Oreochromis niloticus: one gene and its partners. The protein of the gene in region 3 binds, or shares a complex with, the protein of the main gene of each other region. Links are inferred from orthologs where the notes say so. Each region holds a gene or a part of one and is shown on either strand. Other genes may lie near its edges. The genes, in order: med24, mediator of RNA polymerase II transcription subunit 13-like, med23 and med25.

The links.
Region 1: the proteins of med23 (region 3) and med24 are in contact, whole or in part, in a cryo-EM structure (PDB 7EMF), measured with the Homo sapiens proteins. The link is inferred for Oreochromis niloticus from reciprocal best matches to the Homo sapiens genes MED23 and MED24. Residues at the interface, in NP_004821.2 of Homo sapiens: Asn150, Thr151, Val152, Ser153, Ser154, Glu193, Gly194, Leu196, Pro197, Trp199, Leu201, Gly202, Asn203, Ser206, Asp207, Asp210, Arg213, Tyr258, Asp259, Lys260, Phe263, Ser1133, Arg1139, Ser1176, Glu1180, Glu1182, Trp1183, Val1184, Tyr1186, Arg1189; in NP_055630.2 of Homo sapiens: Lys238, Thr239, Leu280, Leu283, Lys287, Val291, Glu295, Cys336, Glu339, Phe340, Lys343, Leu344, Thr345, Pro346, Leu347, Asp349, Lys350, Gln353, Lys384, Glu720, Lys721, Trp723, Thr756, Arg757, Lys758, Glu759, His760, Met802, Asp803, Pro804.
Region 2: med23 (region 3) and mediator of RNA polymerase II transcription subunit 13-like share a complex: the UniProt entries of both Homo sapiens proteins name them as parts of the mediator complex. The link is inferred for Oreochromis niloticus from reciprocal best matches to the Homo sapiens genes MED23 and MED13L.
Region 4: med23 (region 3) and med25 share a complex: the UniProt entries of both Homo sapiens proteins name them as parts of the mediator complex. The link is inferred for Oreochromis niloticus from reciprocal best matches to the Homo sapiens genes MED23 and MED25.

What each region holds. Positions count from the first base shown.
Region 1 is NC_031973.2:19,694,392-19,701,344, reverse strand, and holds the start of med24 (mediator of RNA polymerase II transcription subunit 24), read right to left. Parts: upstream 3,011-6,953; 5' UTR 2,880-3,010; intron 2,650-2,879; 5' UTR 2,649-2,649; coding exon 2,519-2,648; intron 2,441-2,518; coding exon 2,358-2,440; intron 2,241-2,357; coding exon 2,202-2,240; intron 2,113-2,201; coding exon 2,039-2,112; intron 1,786-2,038; coding exon 1,562-1,785; intron 1,207-1,561; coding exon 1,095-1,206; intron 982-1,094; coding exon 831-981; intron 653-830; coding exon 539-652; intron 267-538; coding exon 213-266; intron 92-212; coding exon 9-91; intron 1-8. UniProt on the Homo sapiens protein: Component of the Mediator complex, a coactivator involved in the regulated transcription of nearly all RNA polymerase II-dependent genes.
Region 2 is NC_031972.2:20,820,864-20,828,115, forward strand, and holds the start of mediator of RNA polymerase II transcription subunit 13-like, read left to right. Parts: upstream 1-4,238; 5' UTR 4,239-5,815; coding exon 5,816-5,887; intron 5,888-7,252. UniProt on the Homo sapiens protein: Component of the Mediator complex, a coactivator involved in the regulated transcription of nearly all RNA polymerase II-dependent genes.
Region 3 is NC_031980.2:6,316,205-6,324,057, forward strand, and holds the start of med23 (mediator of RNA polymerase II transcription subunit 23), read left to right. Parts: upstream 1-4,850; 5' UTR 4,851-5,002; coding exon 5,003-5,053; intron 5,054-5,292; coding exon 5,293-5,324; intron 5,325-7,394; coding exon 7,395-7,482; intron 7,483-7,570; coding exon 7,571-7,695; intron 7,696-7,853. Other genes in the region: il20ra (interleukin-20 receptor subunit alpha), read right to left, coding at 97-927, 1,212-1,348, 1,637-1,781, 2,162-2,337, 2,418-2,626, 2,878-3,004, 3,694-3,742. UniProt on the Homo sapiens protein: Required for transcriptional activation subsequent to the assembly of the pre-initiation complex. Component of the Mediator complex, a coactivator involved in the regulated transcription of nearly all RNA polymerase II-dependent genes.
Region 4 is NC_031969.2:29,553,640-29,560,996, reverse strand, and holds the start of med25 (mediator of RNA polymerase II transcription subunit 25), read right to left. Parts: upstream 3,017-7,357; 5' UTR 2,859-3,016; intron 2,411-2,858; exon of another isoform or gene 2,273-2,410; intron 688-2,272; 5' UTR 684-687; coding exon 538-683; intron 457-537; coding exon 411-456; intron 172-410; coding exon 47-171; intron 1-46. UniProt on the Homo sapiens protein: Component of the Mediator complex, a coactivator involved in the regulated transcription of nearly all RNA polymerase II-dependent genes.

The DNA of each region.
Region 1 (6,953 bases), on a different chromosome or scaffold from region 3:
GCACTTACTTGCATCGCTGATCTGCTTTGTCCAGGAGTGGCGTAAGCTTAAGTAAATACTGAAATGCTATGTTCACATCCTCCATGAAATCCTGGGAAATGCAACGTTTGCACATTTGAAAGTGACAAAGACAGTTTATGACATTACACACGCAGCGCTCAATATCTGGGTGTTAACTTACAATACAAAGATCAGTCAGGCATTTACTTTACCTGTCCTTTGTCACTCTGAGGATATTTCTTTAGTCGGAGTAGAACTTGCGGGATCTGAGATGAAGAAATCACAAGTTAATTTCATCTGATTTCTGTGGAGTGTAGACAGTAATATTACTACCAAATTAGTTTCATGCAGACAGCTCAGAGGGGAGATTTATAAAATCACTGCACAAAATTTGGCACACTATTCCTTCTCTAAACTAAAAATCCACAACAAACAGAGTCAAGGAAGCAGTTAATGATATAAACAGCAAGTAAAGGCAGCAAAAGGCAGAGAAAAAGACAACAGAGGACCAAGTTTTCTTCTTTGAAGTAGAGCTTACCTTAAGGAACGTAAAGGCAGTCCATTTAAGCTCTTCTGTGCCCTCTGGTGACTCAATGAGGCCAGTGAAGCAAGCTTTCCATATCTCCAGGACAAAAAGGGGAGCAGGAATTCGCTGATGGGAACAGAAACACTCCATTTACATCACACAAAACCTCACCAGGAAAGGCTGTGTAATATTTTGGCCAAAAGCTGAAATGTTTCTTTTCTGTGTGTAATGAAATTCCTTTGTCCTATAAAATCTGTCAGTCTAAATTTTTACTGTTTGATTTTTTTCACAGCTTAATGTTCACCTGCATTCGTTTGATCATCATTAACTGCTCCACCAGCGGCTGTATCTCTCCTGTCAAATTCATAGTCCCTTCCAGCATGATGAAGGCATGAACTGATGGAAAGGAGGCATGAACTGGAGGGTCACTCTGCTCAGACAGCATCATGGGAATACTGAAGAAGAGAGTGGAGAAATCGGCACAAAGAAGTCAGATGGGAGGCTTGAAACTATTGTCAAATTAAAGCTTAGGAGGATCATTTGCTCTGTATTAATGTGTCAGCCTCACCTTTTTACTAGTGACAAGCTCTCCTCTAATTTAGTAAGCAGCGTTGAGTTACTCACACTACTAAGACCATCTATCAAATTAAGCACAGCTTGCTCTACATTGCTCCAGGAACCTGTTGGAGAAAAAGCAGCAGCAGAAACACTGTTTAGATGCCACGATCGGCACAAAAACACACTTTAAAGATTTGGCCAAAAATGACAGTTTTAGCTTAAGTGACATTTTTGTATCACTATGGCTGAATGGCAATAATTTCAACAATTGCCAGATCCCATGCATATGCAGGTGTTTGCCTTAGAATGACTTAATATTAAAAGGCAAATAAACTGCCAACAAACTTTGAGAGCATGTTAATAGAGCCTCAGGTAATTTACACACTATATAGACGTACTGATACATCAGCAGATCTCAGCCAGACTTCACTGAGCACAACCCTATGTGTAAACAAATACCCACACACACTTATATACCTTGGTCCTCCAATCGGGCAATGTGGACTAAAGCTCTGTTCTTGGTGCTGTTCATCAAACTCTGGAGCCTTTCCTGGCAGGCTCCAAGACTGGTCTCTGTGCTGGCTGATGGACCCAGTTCTCTGAGCTTCTCACAGTACCACGCACAGCCCTGCACCAGCCACACTACCACTGCCAGCAGAGCCCGACAAAGCCCGATGCATTCCTCTGCTTTTCCGTGACAGCTGGATCAATAAGAGACAAGAAGCAGTGACATTTTAAGCAAGATGCACACTCACTGGTCCCTTTATTAGGTACACCTTGCTAGTACAGGGCTGGATCTCATCCGCTTCATGGTTTGTTGTGTTGTTTGATGTGTTGTGCATTTAGAGATGCTCTTCTGCATACCTTGGTTCTAATAAAACATTTCTGCATCAATCAGAATTTTAAAAGACGTGAATTAGATTAATGCAGATACATTAGAAACACTTAACATACCTAAGGCGATGGCAGAACATGTCCATTATTTCTAACAGTGACTTGACGCAGAGCTCCCGGGAAAAATCATCAAACTGTCACAGAAAAGACAAGTATTAAGATCATTAACATTTTCTTACAGTAAAAATAATTTTGCATTGAGTATTGTCATGCAGAAAACTACCTTGCTGATAGCCATAAGCACACTGGAATAAGACACCATCTATGGCAAGAGAGGAGACAAATCGCAACATGCAAAACAACCAACAAGGTTAGAGAATCTTCTCAGTTTCACACGTTTTCATTTGCTTTTTTAAAATACAACAGTGCTTTATCTCACCTGTGAACTTATGGCATATTTGAGATAAGACAAGATGAGTGGGTTAGGGGATGGTCCAATCATCGCCTGCTCCATCAACGCCTCTGAATTATATACAAGGAACAGTTAGAGCAACTTTAGAAAACACAAGAACCGGTATACTTAAACAGACTACTACCAACCTGCAAGGTTGAGATAGTCCCATGTAGCTCCCTTTGGGAAGTTTTTCTTGATGTTGATGGCCCACTGGTAATCACTCCAACGATCTTTCCAAGCCTGCAGAATGGCTTGCTTCAAATTGACCATCTTCATCCTGGCGGAGGAAAAAACATCAATAAAAATGGCCACAATTCAGTCACTGTTCGTTTTTACGCTGTAACACTCAAGCTTATTTTACACTATTCCCTAGCTACGTTAGCTTATGCTATTTGCTAATGAAATAGTTAAAGAAAACTTCTCCTGTCTGATGCCGAAAACAAACAGTTTTCACAATAAATTAACACCAAAACGAGTCTACAAAAGGGTGCTAAATCTGATACCTACCTGACGCTTTGAGTTTTTAGAAGCTTACGCTAAAATACATTTGTTTATAGGACCCCAGCTTCACAACGCAAGAATCGACGTTTTTGTTTTGAAAGACGTACCCGTTCATTGGTTAACCTCCTGACGTTTCAGTATTCTTCGCGCGGATTGGTTGAAGGGGAATACCGGCAGAGCTCCGCTCGACTAGCAGCAGATGTCGCTGTTTACAAAGGTAAGAATCAAAGCTCGACCTTAGAATTTATACCTTTTCCATACATAAGGAAATGAAGGCAGCAAAACTGTTGTTGTGCCTTCCAGTTAAGGGTAAAACATGAAACCAAAGAACTGAATAATTTTCTAATATAAACAGCTATTTTAGCGTGACACCTGTGATGTCTTGTTAGCCGTTTGCAGTGTTGTTTTGTTTGTTAGTGAAAATGAAGGAAAGTATAGTTCTTGCAGAGGCATGACTTAGTATTTTTGTGTTATGCAACTTTTTGTTTCTACTCCTTTAAATTTTGGAGGCAAATACAGGACTCTATACACCACCTTATTTATCGGAGATTTTAGCTAGGTTTAGATTACTCAGCAGTATGAAGACCAATTAAAACTAGCTACAACTACCATATTAAACTTGTTTACACAATATTGAATTGGTGATATTCTGAAATGAATCCTTATGTAAGTGCTTTTACTTTAGGTATTTTTAGAAGTTTTAGTTTTTAGAACAAGTCTTTCTAATACACTTATCTATATATATATATATATATATATATATATATATATATATATATATATATGTATACAAACTAAACAGACGCTTAACTTAATAACAACTGGTGTCATTTGTTTCCACATTAACCTAATTTTTCTTGTACTGTTAGCTGTAAAGTGATGACATAAGTTATACCTGATATAACTAAGTTGAATTTATTTTCTTTGATTATTTCATCCATGCATACAGTGAAATGCATTGTTGTCTTACATAACCACCTCATTCAGCTGTGTGATTCACTACCTCGGTGTAGCTCTTTTGTGTGTGCCAGTCCAGTCCCTTTCAGCAGGATTTTGTTTATTATGTCAGAATGTTGAGGTGGAAAAAAAGCAAAACAGGACATGTGTCTTTACAACAGTTCACACTCTTATAAAACCTGAAAGAAACAGGGGTGAAATAAACTATGTGGAAATGTGGAAATGGCTCCTTTATTTAGATTTAAATAAATAAACAAATCTGTTTATTCACAAAGCACATGCTCAAGAAGAAAATATATTCAGAACAATGCTGAAAGTGGCACTGGTATTTAAAAAAATTCTACTCAGGCAGGAGTTTCTCTTTCTCCTTTTAACTTTTGAACTCAGTTGTGTTTCTTGCTAAAAGGGATACTGTTCTCTATATCAAAACCACCCAACTACTTCTGTTAGGGAATATCCTGTATTGAGTTTATGACTACAAAGACCCTCATTCTGCCTGACACTGGAGACGGTGTCCTGATAGAGCGAAGTCTGTGTCCTGGGACGGCCCTGTGCCAGCCAGCAAGAGATGATCCATGCGTCCTGGCGTTGTCTTGGTAGGTGAGGGTTGGAGAGATTATGAAGTTGAGGTGTGTGTGTGTGCAGCGGTGAATTTGGGCAGAGTGATCTTATCCCCTTTGCCTTCTACATAGTGGAGAGCTGCATTAGTGGAGGGTACTGAGAGATCTGAGTCTACCCCTGGGGAGACCGGAGAGACTGAAGTCACAGCTCTGTGTCTGTTCTCATGACTTCACTGCCGGGACAGACCCAGTTTTGCTGACTCTTATTTTTCTTCTATGTAAGCTATTGAGTAATCCCATTATAACGGGACTCACTAGTTTTTAGTTTGTGGTGCTCAAAGTCTCTCAGGATTACCTGGATGTAGATACTTTCACTATGAAAGAACCCTGTATTGACAACTTATCTAATTTTGAAAATGGCCCATAGTTTTTAGAAGTATTATTTTCAGATGCTTATTATTTCTTCAAACTAATTTTTTTTAATTCTCTCAACACCACCAATACCTTTCAGCTACATAATAATGAGATAAACACAAGCTACTATCTCCAAACACCAGCAATTAACAATGAAACTATGTGGATTATGTGTTGCGTTGTGTTTTGTGTAATCAATTTATTAAATCCATTAGGGCCAATTGCTTAATAACCCATAATCATCCACCTGTATGGGGTGCACAGAGAGGCAGGAGATAATGATCCCTATGAAAGAGCAGAACTAAATAAATGTGATATTTCATAGCATGTGTTTCTATTAGATCTTTATATCTGTTATACTTCTCTATTCTGTTTTTTTTTAAAAAACACAACATTACTGTCATTCATTCTCTCCTGGGGCCTCTGGGCACACCAAGATAATTACCAAGGGTTCAGAACCAGGAAATGAGAGTGGCCCTCTCCTGTCCCCTCAGGTTGTCCAGTGATGTTGCTTCATGAATCAGGATAGACTAGAGGCAACTACTGTAACCAAGAGAAGGTAAGGCACATAATGTGTCAGTACATTTAATGTTGCATACAGCTTCTTTCTCTCAGGTTTGAACTCAAAATGAAAGTCTTTCTGGAGGGTGATGTAGAAACAGCAACTTTAACATAGGTGAACAATAAAGTGAGAGACATGAACATCTGGTTAAAGCTGTTAAAGCCATGGCAACCGACTTTGGGAATAACGTGTATGGGGAGGCTTTCTAAATTTGCTGACCCACTCTTGTAATGCAAACAATGTACATAGGGAAAGCACAGTTGCAGTAAATAACACTATAACAAATTAATATGCACTAAACACTCACCTTCCACTTCATTAGTTACACCTTGTTAGTTGTGGGTTGAAACCACTTTGCCTCCAGAACTGCCTTAATTCTTCATGGCATAGATTTAACAAGGTGAACATTCCTCGGGGATTTTGGTCCATACTGACATGAGAGCTTCATGCTATGTTATACTGAGATCTGGTGACTGTGGAGTCCATTTGAGGACAGTGAACTCATTGTGATGCTCAAGAAAGCAGTTTGAGATTATCTGAGCTTTGTGACATGGTGTGTTATCCTGCTGGAAGCAAGCAGCCATCAGAAGATGGGTACACTGTGGTCATAAATGGACCAACATGGTCAGGAACAACACTCTGGTGGTGTCTTAAGTGACGCTTTGTTGGTAAAAGTAAAAGTATTCCCCACACCATTATATTACCTCCAGACTAAATCATTGACACAAGGCAGGAGGGATTCACGCTTTCATGCTGTTTATGTCAAATTCTGAGTCTAGAATTTGAATGTTGCTGCAGAAATGGAAACTCATTAGACTAGGCAATGTTTTTCCAATCATTGTCCAGTTTTTTTAGCCTCAGTTTCCTGTTTTTAGCTGACAGGAGTGCCTCTGTAGCCCATCTGCTTCAAGATTCAGGTTGCTGTACAAGAGGTGCTGTTCTGCAAACCTTGGATTTAACAAGTGATTGTTTGAGTTGCTATTGCCATCCAGTCTGCCCATCCTCTGATCTCTGACATAAATAAGACATTTTCAACCAGAGAAATTTTGCTCTCTTGATATTTTCTCTTTTCATTCCATTTTCTGTGAGCCCTACAGATGGTTGTGTGGGAAAATCCAAGCAAATGAGCAGTTTTTGAAACAAGCCCGTCTGGCACCAACAACCATGCCACCTCCAAAATCACTTTTCCTCTTCATTCTGATCCTGAGTTTAGACTTCATCAGGCTGCCTTGACCATGTCTAAAAGCCTAAATGTGTTGAGTGGTTTTAACCCATATTAGAATTGTCGTATTGGTGTGCATAGAGAAGTTGAGGAGAATAACTTTGCTAAAAGAAAACAATAAACTTCTCATTTGACATAATAGAGAATTTCAAAATTTTGCCATTTCTAGTGTTTGTATTACAGCATTTATAGAACAGACAAAGAGCACAAAATATCAGTAAAATATCCCACGCTTTAAGAAAAAAAAACAACTTGGAACTACAACATGCAACTGATGACTGTAGCACTAACAAGATACCTGTAGATAGCAAAAATGTTAAATTTCAATATTTTAAACAATAATTTTAGACTGTAGTTAGGTATGG
Region 2 (7,252 bases), on a different chromosome or scaffold from region 3:
CATTTGGAAAACACAGCAGTGTTTGTCCCTGAAAACTGATTTTCGCAATCACATTAAAGTAACGTCTTCATAATGTGTAAATCCATGGCTAGGAATGTCTCTAGTTCTGCCTTATCAAAAGCAATCAACTACATGTGCAAGCTGCATCACAACCTTAAAATAAATTTCCTGTGGGTGGTCAAACATGGCACGGTGGTGCAGTGATTAGCACTGTCGCCTCACAGCAAGAAGGTTGTGGGTTTTAATATACCGGCTGGCTGGCTGGGAAATTTGTGTGGAGAAAGCACGGATTGCTCTATTAGCCCAGCAACAGACTGGTGTCCTGCCCAGGGTGTACCGTGCCTCTCGCGCTATGACAGCTGGGGTGTCCACCACCACTATAACCTTAAATTGGATGAGCAGAAGAAAATAGTTTTATGGAGGCGGCCTAACAAGATGACAATTATTTGTGTTTTTTTATTATTCACACCCTTATGTGACCATTTTTTGGCCCTCATATTAGATAAATAGCCTAAATGTGTGCTACTCTTGATTATAAACTTGACTCTAAAATAACACAGTGGATGTGGATGTTATTTTTTGACATGTACCTAACCCACCCTGGCAAAGGCAGCCCCTTCTCCAAGTGTCAGCTGCCTCGGCAACGGAGCAGGGTGACCCAGCACGCCGTATAAACACTGCTCAGCACTGCCTCCAGGAACACAGCAAAAAGCACAAAGTACTGATTTGGACTCCAAAGATCCCGATCAGATCAAGTGACCATGAGATTTGCCAGAACAAACGCGATGCACAGATATCTCACCACCCAACGAATCCAAAGGCTCTGCTGCCCACATTCCCATGGGAGGTCCTGTGTCTGTGCCCACATGAGTCAGAGCTGTTTTGGTATCACAGGGGACAGGGCTGATTTCTGTGAACAACTTTTATTTGCTCCACAGCAGTTTCACAGTTACAGGAAATGTCTTTGTTTGACATTGTTCATGTGGTGCAAACCTTTTCAAGCGTATTAGTAACAGAAAAAAAAATCTTACTAATAAGGATGTTTTCCAACTTAAACTTTGGCTGTTATATCTCATCATAAATATTTCATATCACTGATAAATATTTACGAATTGCAACCACATTTTTTAGGAGCTTTAATAAAACTTGATGTCCTGCCTGATATAAAGCGTCCTTTTACATGTCAGGAGACACACTTCCTGAATAAAGCGCACGCGGATGCACGGCACAACTAAACAGATTGTCCGGACAAACATATTATCTTTAATCACAGCAGTAATGCTTCCTTTCTCCTCGGTCAGCAGGGGCCTGACAAAGGGGAAATGTGTGGCATATTGAAATAGATTTATTCAAACTGATAGCATCTCATCCTATCAGCTTCACACCAAGTGGGCCAAACTGTCTTCAAAGCCTTTAAGGGTGTATTGAACAAAAGAGGGGGGGAAAAGTGTCCAAATGAGTTCTGGATCATTCCTGGAGCAAAGGGATCAATAACCACCAGGCTAAGCTCCTCTCGCTCATCCATCTGATTCATATCTTGCCCCCTCCCTGCTTTTTTTCTTTTCTTTTTTTTTGCGCAGATATAAGAGGAATCACCAGACTAAAGGCTTCTGCTCTGTGGCAATATGTACCAGCTACTGGCTGTTTTCTCAAATACATAAAGCTGTACGTAGTGATTAATGTGAGAACTGAACCAATGTCAGGATGGACTAGATAAGTCAGCATATTGCGATCTTCACTGGAAACATAAGGCAACAAAGGGAATATACAGACATCCATAAATAGCTCTGTTAGATCTGGAATTAGAGGTAACGTCTCTTGTGTGGAAAGGATCTTCTGATTAGCCTGGAAGTGCCACTGAGCAACTGTTTACACACTTCAAATAAGGTTCAGATGGCTGCATATTTCCCAAAGCTGCAACCCAAGTTTGCATCACGTGTCCACCTGACAGTCATGGCTCACATGATTACATTAATCAAAACACTACATCAGTCAGTTATTGTTAGTATTATTACAAATACTGTCTTCATATTACTAATTTCTTTTTATATATATTATTCATATATGTCACTTTTTGAATGCATCTAATGATTCATACAAAGGCTGTGAGACACTGGTTGCCCTTCTCAGCTGCTTTTTCTCTAAAGATAACATCTCAGTTCAACAGAGGGAAAATAATACACGGGCAGGTGGTTTTGCGGTGTGTAAGCACTTAAAAATCATTATATGACTCCAAATGAAAAAGTCAGATCAGGTCAGTGTTCAATGACATATTTCATTTTTCTGAGGGCGGAGAGATGAAAAGCTTTTGGGCTAAATAAAGTAACTATTGAATCTTAAGGCCTCTAGGGGGATCCACATGCAAAGGTCTGCATATTCTTCTGTTTTGAGCAAGAGCAGCCCAGTTACTTCAGTGTAGTCAGAAAAGACATTCTCTTTTCAGATAAAAAGAGCATCAGGTTAGCATATCTAAGTAAACGCTGAGCAAGCTTAAAGACCGAAGCCAGTTAACTTTGATATCCAACCATAAAGAAAACCCAGACAAATATAATGTATGTACAGCATATGAGTCACTAACAGTAACACAAATATTTTATGTGCTGACTTCTGAATGGCCTCTGCAGTACAAGGAAAGAGTGTCTGCATAATAATGCTTTGTTCTTAAGCCTCAATGGAGACTGCTTGACACAGGACCCGAACCGCATGTTTATGGATGGAGTTTACAAAATCTCTAACAGTACACTTGTAATATAAATATAACTTGTGTACACTGCATTGACAGAATAATAATCAGTACATATTATTATAATGCGCTTCCACTGTATAGATTAAATCAAGCAAAATTGGAATATTTCCAGGCAATGTCATGTCTCTGGTATTCTCCCTGGAAACTTACCGGACTTACTGTTTTTAAATTTGAAATTAAAACTTAACAACAAGCTACACGTTAAAAGATATTTCCTAGTTCTTAATTTTCTCGCTTTTCACATTGTTTATTTGATCATTTTCATGCTAAAACAATAACAACACATATTACAAAGAAAACAGTGTTCAGTGACAGCATTTGCTAAGTGTATATACAACAGTTGATCTTGAGAGGAAACCAACAAATCTCTATTCAAACCTGCATTTATCAAATGTGTGGCCTTTATGTTTTGGAATATGTAAAGCTGTAAGCAAATTACAGAGGTACTTTCACTTTTAATGCTGTTTTAATGTATAGTAAAAGCTTTAGCAAACTATTGCCCAGTTACCAAAGCCTGAATGGGGCCGTATCAGCAGGCTACTATTATCTCCCAATATTAGCTATTTGTTGATCAATCATTAATAACACCCGATAGATAAAAATGTAAAATGCAAAGAGACGAAAGAAACACCCTTCAGCATAGTTTCATCACCAGGTGAATAACTTAATAACTAACTGGAATTCGGTATCTTAATTTAAAAAAAAATGTGCTTGACTGTTTTCTTTTTTTGTAAAACTGTACATTTGAAAATTCATTGATGACAGCAACAATTATATTTTAGCATTAAAAATATATTCAAAATGCATTTCAGCATTTTTAAATGTTTTTAAAAATAAATATTTAACTTTATTGACACCGTACACTAAAACAATAGTTGGGGCTTGGGGCTAGGGTGGGGTTCATGGTGGGGCTAGGGTGGGGTTCATGGTGGACTTGACTCATGATAACCGGTGTATCTTTTAAATCTTAGCTGCGGCCCTGAATACAACCACTCTAAATAACTCCCAATCTTTGGTTTGAGTCATATTGAGTATTTTTATTTTTTCGCGTGAGAAAAGCCTCAGAAATGTTTTCAGATAATATGTGATGCACATGCTGAGTGTAAGACTAACCTACATAGATATCTCTTATGAAACACAGTGTGCTCAGTAAGTCATTCTGACCTCTATTCTGTCACATCCTCTGTTGTGAGAGCACAGATACATTATGTAACCAATGCATCACAGAATGACACCGTGCAGTGATAAAAAATAAAAAAATATAATAAATAAAATAATAACCCTTCACTGCGCGTTTCAGGCAGAACAAAAGATCACAGAAACAAAGCGCACATGGCAACAATAAAGGAATCTCGGCGACTGTCGCGTCCGCCTCTAATATCAAATACACTCAACTACTGTAATCCTGGACTTTGATCACGTGAGTACAAACTTGGCCAAATGGAAAAGGCGAGTCTCGGGTAGTACGCTTCCGACCGCCATTACATTACAATGCGCGGTGGGCTGGACGATCGTGCGCGAAGAAACGCCACAGCGCTCGGCGTAAAACAAACAGACACGGAGGGTGAGAGTGACACATTCGGGCTGCGCGCACGCATACACTTCCATAGCTGCATAATAACGCCATCTGAGAGATAAACAATGAGGAAGGAGTCGCCGCCGAGGAAACCAAACACGCCTTTGAGGATTTAATTCAATAGCGAAAGAGAAACAGGAGGATGCGCTTTTAAATGCCGAGGTGGTGCTTTATGAGACATTTCAAATATATTTATATCTGCAGCATGCAACATATTCTTTATGTCAGCAACGGGCGCCAGACAAGGACGGCCACTTCTGCTTGAACTGTGCGTTTTTAAAGAAATCCTACCTGATATATGTATTTTTTTTTTCTGGTGTGCAAGACTGAGGCTGTTGTGGTCGCGAGAGGACGTTTCGTAATGATATAAAGCTGAAAGGAAGGAAGGATTTTTTCAAACCTCCGTCTGCACAGACGCCTGTTTGTCGTTTTCCTGCTGGTGGAGTGAGCCCTGTAAGAATAGTTTTTTTCTTGTCTCAACGCTTTGACTCATGATTCAGGCTAACTGAGGAACCCGCTCGACTTTGTCCGTCCTGCCGCGGAGGTGCACTTGGTTGGTTGGTTGGTGTGTGTTTGTGTGTGTGTGGAGGGGGAAGCTTTTTCTTTTTTAGAGACCTCTCCGTCTGCGCTCCCGTTTAATTCAAGAGCAACAGAGGGATTAAACATTCCTGCCCGCACCACCCGTTTGTGTGTGTGTGTGTTTGTGAGAGACACGCACACTGGGGTTACATTATTGTGAGAGGAACGGTTGTGACAAGAAAGACGGCTATAAATAGCACACGCGATTCTCGAAAACTATCACAAGTGGTGCATCAGCTTGTGGAAACGGAATCAGATATCCTGCGTGCTCCTCAACTTGATTGTTTCGCACTGCAGCGATTATATTTCAAGAAGTTTTGACTCTTTAATTTTTTTTGTTTGTTTTAGGAGGAGGAGAGGAGAGGAGGTAGGCTGTTCCCAGAGCGAGGAAGAAAAGGGAGTCGTCGTCCCCCCCCCCTACAAATGGATTACGGTCATTTAATGATGAAACTATCCGCGGAGAGACTGATTTGGAAACAGGCGGATCTTCCTCGGGATTGAAATGGATACATTTGTGCGCTCTCCGGCTGTTGACAGTGATCAGATTTGGAATCGCCCGACCTGGATTGTAACAATGTTGTGATCCCCCGCTCACGCTTGGATATATCAACACTACAACACAGGCATTTTTTTTATTTTATTTTTATTTTTTTAATGCATTCTGCACTTCTTTTTGAATACGCCCATCAGACCACTCCGAGCCTATTATCCGGACCTCTTGTGAGGTTATAAGCCTGCTTGTTTTGTTTTTTTTATTTAATTTTTTTTTTTATATATATATTATTATTTTTTATTTTTTTATTTTTTGGGGGCAGACTCGTGAGGGAACCGATTTGTCAGCCCCTGCTCGGTGTTTGATAACCGATGTAGGATTTCGACATGCCCTGCGCTGACGACCCCAAAGGCGGACCATTATGACTACATCGGCGAATTGGGTGGCTAACGGGGCAAGCCTTGAGGACTGCCACTCCAACATCTTCTCTCTGGTACGGTATTAATAAATCACGTTCGTCACAGACACGCGAGGCGGTTGTGATGGACAAGTCATAAGACAGTGGGGAGGCATGCTTTAATGTGTGCCTGCTGTACAAAGGTGAACCAATCGGTGATGTTGTTATTAGGCAATCATTAACACGGGTTAGTGATTCGGAATAAACAGCATATTTCATCACTATATGCCTGATATCATAAAAGGAGGGTTTAACGAGAATAAATCAACTTTGCTATCACATTTTCAAACCAAACCAAATCTCGTGACGCTTTAAAATGCAGGGTTCAAATGCTACCACAACTGACTGGCCAATTATTTGTGTGTTTGCATGAATCTGGCAAGTAAACAATAGATAAACAGTCATTTCTTTTCTCCCTATGAAGAGCACAGTGGCCATTATCCTCCACCCCCTTTAAATAATCATTTCACTGGAAATCTTGCAGGAACTCTAATGCATTGCCAAGCAACTAACTTGGAAAGGAGCCCTGCTGCTGCCACTGTCAGATATCTCTACAGCCAGAGACTAAAGAAAAAAAACAAAAACAAATAAAAAAACCCCCCAAAACTCTGATTTTCAGAAAATAATAGTTTTATGCATGGCGCTGCTAGAAAAAAATGCTACCTAGCTCATAACTTGGAAATAGAAGAAGATCTGAGAATGAGAATTAGTGGAATAATTGTCTCACAGGAGATTTTTTTTTTTTTTAAAAAAGCAAGAGAGATCTTGACAGGCAGCATCATGTATTAGGCACACAACGGAAGCAGCACTTTCGCACTGAAAACAAGGTGTTTTTGACTCTCCAGGCAGCAGCATTTTTGCAGAGGGTGGAAGGGAACTGAGCGGCGGTGCTTTCACAGTTTTTCATCCTGCAATCAGCGAGTTAACTGTCTTACTACAACAGGCAGCCAAGTGGAAAGGCATGCAGTAGACTGAGCTCAGGCGCAGGCTGCCGCTGAGAACCACAACAACATATGGGTCCTGGGGGGCTTTAGGTGATCATGCAGGTTGTCGACCTGCAACAGCAGTTGGGCCCCTGTTACACTACATACAGAAGTTATAGAGGCACATGTCACAAAGTATGGTCATGATTTAAAAACCACGACACAAAACAGGAGATAGGGGAAGAATAGACTTTGTAGTTAGCACAGAAAGTCAAAATGAATCATCACTTCTTCTTTCTTGTGTACTTGAGTAATATTGGTGTCTGTAACTGGAACAAACGGGGGAATCTCGAGCTATTTGAGACGCTTGTTTGGATTGCAGTCGCACAGAAACACGGGCATTACGCTAGAAGTCTTAAATTTTCTCAGCCTGACAGAAAAGAAAACATCGATTGCCTCTCTGTCACCGTGTCATTCG
Region 3 (7,853 bases):
TCATCTACTGATCCATGGGGATCCCAACAAAGTCCCATTTGTTGAAAACCTTCGCCACCTCACTCCCTGTTTCCACCTGTCGTTTTCTAACTCTTTCTATTCCTCTTCGTCACTTGCTTGGCTGACAGAAACATTATCTAGCCTCAACCTAGCTCTCGCCACATACTCCTCTTCACTCAATCTTCTACCTCTCCCTGAAAGTAGAGGTACATCCAGTCCTCTTTCATGATTGACACTAAAGTCATCTAGCGTGATATCAGATTGGTCCGAGTGGGAGGCAGACATGTTTGGAATGTTCTGTGGGGCATAAGCAGACATTAAAGGCTCATTTTCACAGTTATTTCCTTCCTCCACACCTCTGTTTGCCACTCCCTCCCTATCTGTGCTCCAGATCACCTCTCCACACAGCTCTTCTCCCCTTTCTACTTCCTTGATTGTTTGCGGATTTAACCGAATGCTTAATAGTAAACTTCTTATCGCTCCATCCTCCTTTGATCTCTGAAAAGACTGTAAACCTGCAAACGACCGGCCCTGCAACTGCATGGGGGTTGGTCTGCATGTCCAAGTAGTGTTAGCCTGAGGCGCGTAAGCTCCACCAGAGTTAACGCTCTCAACTCTCCGGTCTCCATCATCTTGATTCCCTCCCCTTGCTTCCTCTTCTCCTTCAACAGTGATTTGAGGAGCCATGCTGATACCCCCGTAGTCAACAGACAAATCATCCAAGGGTTCCTCGGGCTCTAAGGGAGGCTCATGCCTTTGGGGGGAGTACCTGGGTGGGGGATCCACAACTTTTAGAGAGGCGAGGAGGTGTTTAGGGTCTAATATTGTGCAGTCTCCTGGTGGCTCAGGGCTGAGGCGGCTCACTAAGAGGAGGTTGGAATTCTCAGGAGGGAACACAAGAGGAAGCTTGTAAAAAGTAGATGCGTTCTGGAAATTGGAGGGGAAGGAAAAAGGTATGAAATGTTTGATAATCTGCCTTTGAAACACTGCTGAAACATATTATTTATGTGAATTTCAAACAATAGTCTCAGTTTGCAACTATAATTATGTCACTGGGTCCCTACAGTGAATTGTTAAATTCATATTTAACAAAAAAACAAAAAAAAACAAAACAAAAACACCACACCACCCACCCAATCTAACCTACATTAATTAAATTAAGTTCAGGTTAGGTATTGCATTGCCAGTATGTTTATATGCATTTCAATTACCAGTATATTTGGACTGCGCTGGTCTTTCCCAGACAGGTAGCGATGGAAAAGGTAGCCAGCTGCAATGATCATACCAATGCACAAAGCTGGAACAACAATACCCACAATCACACTTTGCAGCTGCTCAATCACAGGGTCTATAGAAGAAGAAGAAAAAAAAACAAAAAAAGAGGGTGAAGTCAGTAAAAATATTTATTCATCCAGCTTCTGATGACATTTTTGGGCTTGTCATTTGAAAAGAAAATAAATCTAAAATCTGAACCATTTCCTTGACCGACATATTTGGCTCACACAAGGAAGTACAATACACCTGCTGCACAAACACTAATTGCTCTTCAGCTTTGATAACACATTTATTGACATTCCTTTCTACATTACATCCGAATATTCTTATTTACAGACACGGTCACGCAATGGAGTTGTACCTTGAGATGTGGTTATGCAGAGCCATGCAGAGGACTGGCAGTGGATTGGCATCGTTGGGAATTTCGACTGTGCAGAAAAGCAGTATTCCATGTTGTACTTCATCAGCCGGTATTTGTACACGCTGCCAACAACTGGGAAATGGTGCTAAAAACCAACAAGTGGACAGATTAGGCAATGCTAGAGAGTGGGAAAGAATTTTGTAAAAAATTGCTGCAGAAAAACCAAAAAGTTTATGCTTTGTGGGTGTAGGTTAGTTTGTCGTCATAGCTAAGCAATTAAAAAAAAACTACCAAAAAAATGAAGGTGTAGTAGGTGACTCAGTGCTCTACAAGGAAGTTTTCAATGTAATGTCTAGCATGAATCTTTTTATTTGTGCCTGACAATCCTGTTTTTAAATGAAAGCAATTCAGGGCAGCAACGTCAGATAGAGATTATATCACCACGTCCTAGAATTTTAAAACTTTTCTTAGTATGGGCAGTCAATCTATAGTAGTCATATATATTTCTACTTGATTTATACCTACCGTGTGGTTCAGATGGGTGTTGTGAACAGAAAGGTTGTAAATCATTTCGGGGTAGAGTGTCGCCATGGAAAGCGCTGGGGTGTGGTTGTTTGATGGATACCTCATCGGTCCCTTTATAGTGATGATGGCACTGGTGTTTTCAATTTCCACAGAAAGCAGTGGGGGCCCCAAAGTAGCTACAAGGTTGGACAAACCTTTGTTGTTTAATGTGTAAACATGTTAAATATATTGTAATGCTTTTGTTTCTTTAACTTACTTTCTGTCTTTGGATTGAATCTTCTGGGTATGAAAGCCCATTTGGAAGACACTCCCCTCTCCACAGCACGAACTTTGGCATAGTAATCCTCATCCGCATCCCACATTTCACTGGTCAGATCACACCACGTCCGCACTATTTCTGTACAGTGCTGCACTGCCTTCCAGTTCACCCGTTTTCCCTTCTTACCTTGAATTCTGTCTCCATAGCTGGCAAAGACAAAGACCCACACACTCAGAGGTGAACTTTTGCACAGGTTGAGCAGAGTTTGCTTAAAGTCACAGTCAGTAAAGAAAATGAACTTAAACAAAGCAGACCGATTTTGAGATCTTGTTGCATTTTATTTCTTTTAGCCTTGCTGGAACTTTTTTTTTTTTGCCAATAAATCCCTTTGGGACTGCATCCAGGCTAGTTCTTGGGAACTATGAATTTTTATTTAAACTCTAAAACATTTACTCACATGGCATATTGCACTGTGTAGAGCGTTTCATCTGCATGATTGCCTTTTCCTGGAAACCACTGCAGCACGTTCCTCAGATTTACAGAAGAGAAGGTGACATTGATGGGGCTGGGGACAGGCTGGGAGACTGAGGGGAGCGAGACAAGAGGTGAGGTGCCTGTCATCAGAATATACACCAGCTTCTAGTTGTCCTGACTGACCTTTAAACTTCTCCTGTGTTTAATGGTACTATTAAACTAGTTGTCCACATATAACCGTAAGGTGTGAGCTGTCACTATGATTCACTGCCTTTCAGACTTTGTTCCACCTCACACAGTACACTCGGCTCCTTATAAATCATTTCAAGTAGGCAAACACCATAAAAGTGTTTGATCAAAGATTCTCTATGGGAAGATTATCCAGACTACATTTTCTGTTTGCAATTTGATCAAAGAATGCCTCTCATGCTTTGATCTCCCGGGTGAGAAACCCGAGTCTGTAAAGTGACTTTACACTTAAAGTAGAGCTCCATGCACTAATACATTTTGTGTGTTAACAAAACCACATGCGTTTATAGCTCGAACAGCCGCTTTCTGTACTTAAAGTGGACGAACTAAATTACAATGTGTTAATGCTTTTAGAAGTTCCCAGTTTCATTGCAGATTTCTTTAATGATCTCATCGTTGGCTACTGTTGTAGCATAAAAGTCAGTCCGCTTGAATTGAATAAACGCCATAAAACTAACCGCACAAAATGGAAACAGTGGAAACAAAGAAACACAGCATCCACAAAGTAACAACAAAGAAAACAGATATTAGCACTTAAATGCAGACCTACCTGTGGAGTGAAAGCTATAAAAAATGAAAAATGTGAATATAGCCAACATCTTTGTATGGAGTCGTCATGTTTTCACAAAAACAAAAAAGCAAATACTTCCAGTCCTCTCGGCAGGTTCCCCCCAGCTCCTCCTCATAGTACACCTGCTCGCAGTTCTCTCGATTAAAGGAAATTAAAACCACGCACTCAAGGTTAAAGTGAAAGAATGTAGCTAAAGTCGGAAGAGTTACATGAAACTGCCACCCAATGAAACCCCGTGGACTGCAGTTAAAGGAATCCCTGCGACCTGACAGGTTTCCGTGTTTCTTATGGGAGAAGGAATGTGACCTTACTCGTTTGTGAACAGTTCACCTGTCAGCCGCGCGCGCGGGCGTGGGCGTGTCCGCGTCCATTGAGGTAATAGGCTACAAAAATCTAAGCTTAAGTATAAGTACTTAGTAAACAATCAGATCCACTCCAATATGTGAGAAGAAAAATACATTATACGTGACTCATTTCCAAATAAATCCGTGAGCTGTGTTTAGTTTTGCTGTGGTGTGGCGTGTGGAGGCTGTTAAGTGGAAACAGGTACAGTTTCCTTAAGATGCTCCTGGGGTGTTTATCCGGATAGCAGCCTGGGTAATAAGGTGCACCATGTTATTTCCTTAGTCCCTTTCCCCCCAGCTAATATCCTCTCTCTCTCTAAATACACTGTCAAATGAGATTAGATATTAAAAATTAATATTGACCCTACTGAGTTAAACCTGGGTAACCCATTTGCAAAGAGAAAGCTGTTTTGTTTAAAGCGTAAACATTTACTCTTACTCTTCTTCATCACACCACAATTATTCCACCACGAACCTCACGAAAGCTATAAACAAAACATGGAAAAATCAATTAGCAAATATCGAGAAGAACAGCAGGTGCTCAAACATCGTCCATTGTGACATCTGGTGGCCACAGATCTGTCTTAGTGAAGGGACAGACTTTTGAATACAGATTTTAAACTCTCAAAAATGCGAGCGTTGTGAGAAATATTTGAAAAAAATAATATTATTAATGTGTAACTTTATTATTTGCAAATTACTGAGGTATGAGAATTACAATTTATAATAATAATTAAGCAAAGAAACAATGGAGCGGAACTGTTCCGCTTGTGTTTCCGTTGCATGCCCGGATTGTTTTTGCCATCGCGCTTCTCCTGCGGCGGCTTTCATTCTGCTTCCTTTTAGCATTTAGCTTGTTGGGGTTATCGACTGTGCTCCCGTAGAGGAGTGACGGGTTTGAATTCTGGGATGGTTCGTTGAATAATTGTCTTTTGGTTGCAAACATGGCGCTTTCGATGGAAACGCAGCTTCAGAGCATCTTTGAAGATGTTGTGGTAACTTGCATCTTTGTTGACTGAGTGGCAGCCAAGCTAACATTAGTTAGCATTTCAGATAACTGTAGTAGTATTTTCTATTTACTGAACTTACTTTGGTTTGCAAATATAACCAGATGGTGTTTTTACTATATGTCTCCAGCTCGCTAACATAAGAATTAACAGCTAAGGGTGCACCGTTAATATCACAAGTCTTCACTTACGTTAATGCGTTTTTATTTTCTCCTTTTTTTTCTTAGAAAACTGAGATGATAGAAGAGGCCTTTGCTGGGTAAGGCTGCTCTGAATTCATGTTAATAACCCCCGATATTTTGCAATTGCATTGTTATTAGCTTAGGTGTAATGTAGGGTGCCACAAACGATTATTTTGATAGTCGACTAGTCACCGATTATTTTTGCGATTAGTCGACTAATCAGATCATGCATCCATTGAACGTAAAACGTACAGTTTATTGCACTAGCACATGTCTGCTCTTATATAACTATCATTAGCTTACAGCTTGAAGTGTTTAAGGTGCTAACTAAAAATAAAGACAAGAGGATAGTTTATTAAATTTAAATGAAATTTGCAGATTGTTTCGGTGGAGTTTAATAAACGCAGCCGTCTGCTCCTTGCTATCTAAAATATAACAGGACACCGGAGTATATTCTCGAGCATCTCACACTTCTGATAATCAGTTGTCTGCTTGACGTTTATTCAGCTGTGTAAAAACTATAACTTTAATCTCAGCCAAACCGATTTACTCAGGAACAAATAAAATACTGAAAAAAGCCCAATAATATCATTTTTAAGTTATCTAAGTGACTTGTACATCATGTTTAACCTGAGTAGCGAAAGACGGCGGTGGGTTTGAAAACGATTTGCCGGGAGTCCGGTGTTCTCACCGGCTCTAGTGAGCCTTGAACCCCGGCTAGGTATCGAGCTAATGGGTAACAGACGTCTCCGAAAACGTCGGAGCGCTTTTGAAAATATGTGGTGTCTTGATAAACTGAGCAGATATTTGAAGTTTACACAGCTACATTCTCGCCTGAAAATATATTAAACGTTTATTTTGTGACCCAGAAAGAATAATAAGAGTAACATTAAAGCTAACTAGCTGCCGCCATTGTTGAAAACTGAGCAGGGCCGCGCTATGAATTCTGGGACACAGCTTCTTCTTCTTCGGGGTTTAACGGCAGCTGGCATCCTTGTACATGCAGTGCTGCCATCTTCTGTTTCAGTCCGTTATTACACTCTTAAATCCTACTACTTATTCCTGCGTCTTTTGGGATCTTACAAAGCTTCAAACGACGCGTTGACTATTAAATTAGTCGTCGACGATTTTGATAGTCGACATAATCGTGACTAGTCGACTAATCGTGGCAGCCCTAGTGTAATGTTAAGTTACTGCACACTGGTAGTGCTGCTGGATGTTATAGTTATAGTTATAGTTTTTACACAGCTGAATAAACGTCAAGCAGACAACTGATTATCAGAAGTGTTTTAGCAGTAAGACTCACAGGCCACTTTGTTAGGTGCTGGAAACATTTCTCAGAGATTTTGGTCCATATTGACATGACAGCATCACACAGTTGCGACACAGATTTGTCGGCTGCTCCATCCATGTCGTCAATCTCCTGTTTCACCACACCCCAAAGTTGTTCTGCTGGATTGACATCTGGTGACTGTGGAGATCATTTGAGTACGTTGAACTCATTGTCATGTTCAAGAAACTAGTTTGATGTAATTTGAATTTTAAGACATGCTGTGTTATCCTGCTTTGCCTCAGTTGCCTATTCTTAGCTTACATTGCCGGCATCCATTATGTTCCTCAGCCGCTGTAGTCCATCTGCCTCTGGGTTTAACATGTTGTGTTTAGAGAGGCTCTTCTGAATAGGGGGGTTGTGTTTATTGGAGTTGCTTTTTCGCTCCCATCACCTCGAAGCAATCTGGCCATTGTCCTATGACTTCAACAAGGCATTTTCCCCCTGAGAACTGCTGCTTGTTGCCTTTTTTTCTCTTTTCTGGACCATTCTCTGAAAACCTTAGAGATGTATATGTGGGGAAAGTCCCAGCAGATCATCAGTTTCTGAAATAATCAGATCAACCTGTTTAGCACCAACAACCATGCCATGTTCAAAGTCACTTAAATCACCTTTCTTCCCCATTCTGATGCTCAGCTTGAACTTAACTAGGTCTTCTTGACCATGTCCACATGCCTAAAGGCAGTTAGGTGATGTCGTGTGATCGATTGATTAGATAACTGTATTGAAAAGATGTGGCTAACAAGAGTGGCCGATGTGTGTATATTAAAATGTACGGAGCAAAATTAAATGCTAAAATTAAGAAGTGTGTTTTTAGGATGTTTATGGACACTCCAGAGGATGAGAGGACTAAGCTGATCAGTTGTCTTGGAGCCTTCAGACAGTACTGGGGAACCCTGCCACAGGTTTTTACACACACACACACACATGCACTCCCACTTGCTCACACTTACATGGCTGAGATTTTTCAGTTGCTCCAACGTCTTTCTGCAGGAGTCTCATGAACAGTGTGTGCAATGGATTGTGCGCTTTATACACAGTCAGCACAGCCCCAAGAGGATCTCCTTCCTCTACGACTGTCTGGCAATGGCTGTGGAGACCAGTCTATTACCACCCAGGTACACAGAGACATATAGTGTGAGATTATTTGACACCTAAAGAAGTAAAATGGGTTCAAAGAATGATTTATAATATTTCCATATATTAATTTATTATATTTAATTTATCTGTTTTATGACATCCCAATATAATCTGTTATTTGTCTATCTCATTAATC
Region 4 (7,357 bases), on a different chromosome or scaffold from region 3:
GAACAAAGGGGCAGTTTAAAAGGTGTAATAGGGAAATAATTTTTACTGGATGTTGTCGATCCAGGAGACAAATTCGAAGGCTGAGCTGGTTGGCGCGTGACACTGGACATATGACTCCGGAGCACAGTCCACTGTGTTGAAGACCACAAGGCCATACTGTGTGCCCCCGTACTAGAAAACATAAAATAGTAATAATAAATCATCCACAGAATTCAAAAAAGATATCTGAATTTCAGCAAACAGTGACAGGGAATGCAAGCTAAAGCATTAAAAACAGAGATTAGACTGTCTACAGTGTACCTTGCCTCTTGCCCTATGTCAGCTGGGAAAGGTTTTAGCCCCCCCCAACCCAACCTTAAGTTGGATAAGCAGTTAAAAAGCTAGAAAACAGGAATTAGAGTAACACTCACATCTCCACCAAAATCTGTTTCTGCTGGAGGCCCTCCATTAAAATACCTGTGGTGAATGAAATAAAATTAATTCATAGCTACATGACATTAATGATTTAGGAAACAATGGGTAGCTTTAGATACTTACTCAATAGCTGGAAGTATGTAATTTTTTCTTAAAGATTCAAAGTATGGTCCAAGGTTCGCTGTCCCTTCAATGACAAACACCACATCAGCCACCTGGTTGGGCCCAGGTTTACTGGATGGCTCCATGAGTGCCGAACCTGCCACCATAGATCTAGATACAGAGGAGAAAGTTATCATAGTTTAAAAAAAAAAAAAAAAACTACAATAACAACCAAAATTAGGTGTGAAAAACATTTCTTGGTTAAAAGACATAAAATAAATTTAGTCTGACTCATTTCTTCAACACCAGCATTAGCAGGATTTGGTACATGTAACTCTAAGCCTCTCACCTACCTTTCTATTTTAATGCATTTCTGATACTCTTGAATCTTGATTCAACAAATATAATTCATAATATAATTGACATTGAAAATGACAAAACAATTCTAAAAATCACTTTTGTTAAAACTTGGATGAAAGGCCCTTGTGGTATTTATGGCATCTATTATGATCCGTATGTATACTCTGGAGCACAGTGAGAAGACAGACACATTGGGCTACAATTCAAACCCCTATTCAAAAGTCAGGACAACAGCGTCAACAAAGTTGTGCTTGTTTATTTTCCTTTCAAACTAAACAAAAGCAAAAACATGTAAATTCACTTCACATTTCATATATATTCATTTAGAAAACATTACATTTTAATTTTTTTAATATTGTCCGAACTACTATCTTTAGTGTCTTGATGCATGCTCAATCATCCAGGTAAGTAAATCCCCCAAAATTGATTCTGTTCATCTGGACATATATCTGAAAACGCAAGACCCCAGGTGCAGGCTGTGTAAAGATGCCCCAGAGACAATCCAGCACATAACAGCAGGGTGCAAGATGCTAGCAGGCAAGGCATACATGGAGCGCCATAACCAAGTGGCCGGCATAGTGTACAGGAACATCTGTGCCGAGTATAACCTGGAAGTCCCGAGGTCAAAATGGGAGATGCCCCCAAGGGTGGTGGAGAATGACCGAGCTAAGATCCTGTGGGACTTCCAGATGCAGACGGACAAAATGGTGGTGGCTAACCAACCGGACATAGTGGTGGTAGACAAACAGAAGAAGACGGCTGTAGTGATCGATGTAGCGGTTCCGAATGACAGCAATATCAGGAAGAAGGAACACGAGAAGCTGGAGAAATACCAAGGGCTCAGAGAAGAGCTCAAGAGGATGTGGAGGGTGAAGGTGACGGTGGTCCCCGTGGTAATCGGAGCACTAGGTGCGGTGACTCCCAAGCTAGGCGAGTGGCTCCAGCAGATCCCGGGAACAACATCGGAGATCTCTGTCCAGAAGAGCGCAGTCCTGGGAACAGCTAAGATACTGCGCAGGACCCTCAAGCTCCCAGGCCTCTGGTAGAGGACCCGAGCTTGAAGGATAAACCGCCCGCAGGGGCGTGCTGGGTGTTTTTTTTTTTTTTTTTTATATATATATGCATGCTTCCAGCTATTGAGTAAGTATCTGAAGCTACCCATGGATTAAACAGTACAGTACTGACCCCACAAACCAATAGTCACCAGTGGTGTTAGTTTTAGTCATTATGCAAATGCACTGTTTATAACCTGCAGTCAACTGAGATTGAAGAACTCACTTGGTTGAGTGACGAAACGTTTCTCCAACTGAAAACGCAAAGTCCATATGAACAGCTTCAACTTTTTGGGATACCATCTTTAGCGTTACCTTGTTTAATTTCCTGTTTGATCTCTTACCTTAATTCGAGCTCGATTATCTATGTTATTTGCTTTTTTGCGTTTCTGTTTTGTCAGATACACAAGTAAATCACTCTGAGCTGAAACACTCCAATGTAAGATAGTGATTTCACGGACATCCAGCAGCTACAGTACGATGGAAGCATGTGACTTCACCTCTGTGAAGGTGTAACAGTTTTCTATTCTTTCTCAAAGAAAAACAAAAACAGCACTTGTGTTTTTCAATGTAGCACACTTGCGAGAAATATATTTTCTTTTTTTCCTTTCTTTTTTTTTTTTTTAAACCGGTGATAAAATACCAGATGTTTGCTGCGATAGCTGTGCGCTCCAGTTTTAAAGGTAGGACCTAAAACCTAGCTGGTACTCAAATCGCTAATCATTAATCCATAATTAATATTGCTAATCGACATTATCGCCAAGGGGAGGTAAAACGCAAGCTAACGAAGTCAACAACAGCTGAAGTGCGCACAGCTTTCGTTTTAGCGTTAGCTAGCACAGCAAACGTCAGTGAGCGATTTAAGCTAATATAGTTCAAATAGCCCCAATTAACAAGCCTTTATCAAGCTGTTAAGTGATGTAGACTGACCTGATGGACTGTGGCTGTCCGACGAACCGCTGAACCGGTTGGACCAAACTATAACTTTAAAAATTAACTTGAACTACACAGCACAGTTAGCCTGAGCATTTGTTGTATTTTTGACGGAAGTGACGAAACGACACGCCCACGAGAGGCCAAGAATCTAAAAAAACCCAAAAAACTTTATTAATAACAACAAAGCGGAACATGGCATACATCAGGTTGTCAAGAACACCGAAAGGAGTACAAGGAAAATAAACGAAAACGATACAACTTGGGAATTACCATAAACACAAAATACCAGGGTTTTCAAGCCGTTCTAACACACAAAATTATAGAAGTATATTAAAGTCTTTAAGACGATGACACGGTTTTAAGGTATTTTCAATTCTCGCTGTCCATTACTGAGAAAATGTAATGCTTTATTATCAAAAGTAATCCAGTGAAATTTGGCTTACGACTGGAGAACTTGGATGAGTGAATACACTGTCAATATCACTGTAACCAAGCAAAACGTTCTTCCAGGATAATGAAAAATTAGGGTTACCATGATCAGAAACAAAACGTGAAAGTATGCTCCAGAGATGTTTCGTAAACCAGCAATACCAGAATAAATGAACCACTGTTTCAATATCGGTTTCACAAAAAGTAACAATTCACATTAATACCCCTTACAAAGAATAAAACCAACGCCTGATAGTAATGAAAACTAAACTAAATCTAAACATTTTCAGACATTAAAAAACTAAACCAAAGTATTGCCAGTTCACTAAACTGAGCTTAAAACTCAAAATAAAAATGAAATAAAAATGAAATCTAATTAGAAAATGCAAAACTAATAGCTTTGGTCCTCATCAGTCAAAGATGTTTTTGTCTGGTCCCAAATAGCAGATATGTACCTAAACAAGTGCTTTTGCAAACGTATACCATGCAATAGAAAATACAGCTACAGCCACGACAACAAATACAATCCAAGCATTTCAGATATTCATTTATTGAACAGCAGATTAAATTCAGTGGCACATGTAAATACGGGTCTTTGCAAGCTTAAAGAAGTCCAGTTACCTTGTTTCTTCTATAACTGATAAGAAGAGAATTTATTTGTTGTCTTCTTAGGCTTACTGAAGGCCAAGACCCTGATTATATCCAATTCATTTTGAGTTTATTTTATTTAAATAGCACCAATTCAACAACAGTCAGCTCAAGGTGCGTTCTATTGCAAGGTGAACACAATATTAGACAGAGAGAATCCCAACATTCAGATGATCCCCTATGACCAAGAACGTGGTGACAGTGGGGAAGGGGAGCGTGGAGAGATGAGGATAAAAAACAAAAAGGGACAGAAGACAAAGTTTTGGTAACATGGAGTTGTGACATATAAACAGAAATTCCCCAGCAGTCTGAGCCTATAGCAGCATGAATAAAGGATGGTTAGAGGTCACCTGATCTAGTATGCAGAGTAATATGCACTGGATGATGAATTATATATAAAATGAAAAGAAGTAGGAAACACAGAGACTAAACCGTAAAGTGTTGAGGAGGCAACATGCATGTAAATAATGTCACAATAACATTTAAGAGCATGATCTGTCCAGGTGTTTTCCTAAATGCTAAATTCATCTAGTTCTATTTTGAATAAAAACAACAACAACATCAAAACAATAACAAAAGAAACAAAACAAAAAACAGTCAAGCCATTAATTCTTCATTCACAGTGTTGGTATTTTCTCGCTTCCAAAGGTATGACTAAGTGTTTGGGTCACTTCCAGCCCACGCTTAACTTGGTGGAACCCACTTCATGACTTTTTAGACCATGTCTGGCCCATAAACATTTGCCATTGCCATAACTGATGTGTAAGTGCCCAGAGCAGGCCCAGACGTCTCTGCTATCTGGCTACTTGTAAGCAATTACTGAAAATGAAATGCCCTCAATATATATTGCTCCACATAATGAAGCATGGAGGTGCAGGGTCATCAGTGAATATTGTCTTGGCTCAGACTTCTAAACCTCATCTTTGCTTTTCAGTGCTTTGCCAGTAGCCTGAGTGATGAGGAAGGGCTCCAGTTATCTTTCCTTAAATCTATCTAATGACCAACCTGAGGCAGCCAGAGGGCTTTCCTCAAGGGTAAAACTGAAATCTACACTTTAAAAATCTAGACTTTAAAAATCCAGACAGTTGACTATTACAGACAACAATGGCAGGTGCATTCAGATGAAATCCCTCGAAGTGCAAAGGACAGGAATCACATGTTAATTTGCTTAATACAAACTTGTGCTCAGTACTGAAAAGACAGAAATTGAAATCTTTGAGTGTTGCCACAGCAAAAAACAAAAAAACAAAAAACAGACTATCTTCTCTTTTGTGTTTCGAACAGGGTTCTGAGGACGAACGCTGGAGATATCCAAGTGCTTTTGATCCAGACCTCCAGCAGATGTCAGCAAATATCTAGCGATGATGAACTGATGATGGTCTTATCAGAGAGCAGGCTACAGATTTTAACCTAAAGTTCCTTTAATTTAGTGTCAGACTGTTTATCTATAGTAGCTATGTGTCTAGAGTAAGTTACATATAGGAAAAGCTACCAAGACAAAATCCATGGTACTGAGAAAAACATCTTCACCACAAAGCATGACCTGTGATTTTTAGGCTTGACATGCTTAACCTAGTTGTTGCTTTTTTCTGGATTTCATGGTTTCATAACTTCATTGTTCTATAAAAAGGCTTTCTCATTCCCCTTGCAACCTCAGTGCTGGAAACAAGAATATAATTACCACAGCAGCTATCGGCACATTAACTGCTGTCAGATCAGCACAATACACCAGAGGCTAACCTGTAGTTGTAACACATCGGCATGCTGCTTCTGTGGGTCCAACAATAGCATCCCCTTCCCTGTGGTAATGCCAGCCAGTCAGTCAGCTTAGCACAGCATTCAGCAAAGCGCTTCAGAGCTAATCAAGCTCAAACCCTCCCACAGAAACAATGCTCCACATCAATTTAACCTAAATTCTAAGGAGGGCAACAAGCTGTGGGCTCAAGCAGCTTTTCCATTTGGGCGTCAGTAAGCAAGAACGCTTCAGGCGACCTAAAGAAAGTTCATCTGAGGGAGGGTTTATGCCCAAGGCTACCCCCTGGATGCAAACATTAGCTCCCCCACAGAGCTTTTTTATTTTGAATGAGCATCATGGCCAAATTAAACTGACAGAATGGATGGTGAATGTTCGTGTGTGTGTGTGTGTGTGTGTGTGAATGTGCCTGCGTAGGCATCCCTTTACTTTGCAACTCTGATGCTTTCTGCCGCTTAGAGGAATATACAGTGTGTCTCGCTGCTTTGAACTTCAACTCACACAATGCCAGCAGTTGCCAAGCAATTACAGAAGGCCTGCTTTCTGTGTATGCCTTTGGAAGACCAGACAGTGTTTTCTTTTTTTTTTCCTCTTATGTTCCTTGTTTGGTCAGAGAATTACATAATACAATATGAATCAGAAATATAGTTGGTGCCGTAGCTATCTATGTCTGCAAGGTCCAGGTGGTGTGGTAAAGACAATCCATCTCCTGACATTGGTACCCAGCTGGGATGCTGAGGGCCAGATGGTCGCCTCACAACAGGTAATCACAGCCAGCATGCTGATACAGTGGCATCCACACAAATAGGTTACCAGACAAATAGGTTACCAGAGGCGTTTCCAGGAATGTGAAAGAAAAGCAGCCAACAGGAAATCGTAATATTTGATCAGAAATAAATCCAATGTAGAAAAATTTGTGTTGAAAACCTTGGGTGTGATTTGTAGGCTTGTGTGCAACCTGAAACAATGTAATACATAAAAAATTGTGCTGCACAAGAGCCTGAAAATTGTTCAGCATTGGATAACTATTTTGCAAAGTGGTGAAGTAGCAATGTCAAAATCTGACTTAGTATTAGTATGAAAAGTTTTAGCAATAAATAAGATACCTGAAGTAAAGGGAAGGGGCCTTTCCAGAAGCACAGGCATTATATTGTTAGATCACAATTATTCATTAATGTGTAAATCACTTTAAACTATAAAAAAGATATTAAAAAAACAAAAAATAAAACAAAAACATATAAAAAAGGCAAAATTTAAATTTATGTTTTAAAATCATATCTAAAAGCTTTAAAATAAATGACATGGAGAACAAAGTACAATATTTGGATCCAACATATAGTGAGTTGGAAGCAGAAAGTGGAGTAACATAGATATATTTAAATGAATGCATTAAAATTGTATTTGTGTCATTAGTTCAAAGATAATTAATTCAGTTATATTATGGTTAGACAGCTCCGTCCCATGACCTCCTCTGGACACACCCCTGCACAGAGTATTAGATCTGATAGTATTTTTTAAAAATCTTCATAGAAAATTACCTTTTTCTGTGAAATCATGGACCAGCAATGAAAAGTAATAAAATAAAGTTTAATTATGGATTTTACCTCAGTTTCTAATCTTGTACAGAACTTCCTGAGCATTCATCATTTAAAGCCATGCATGC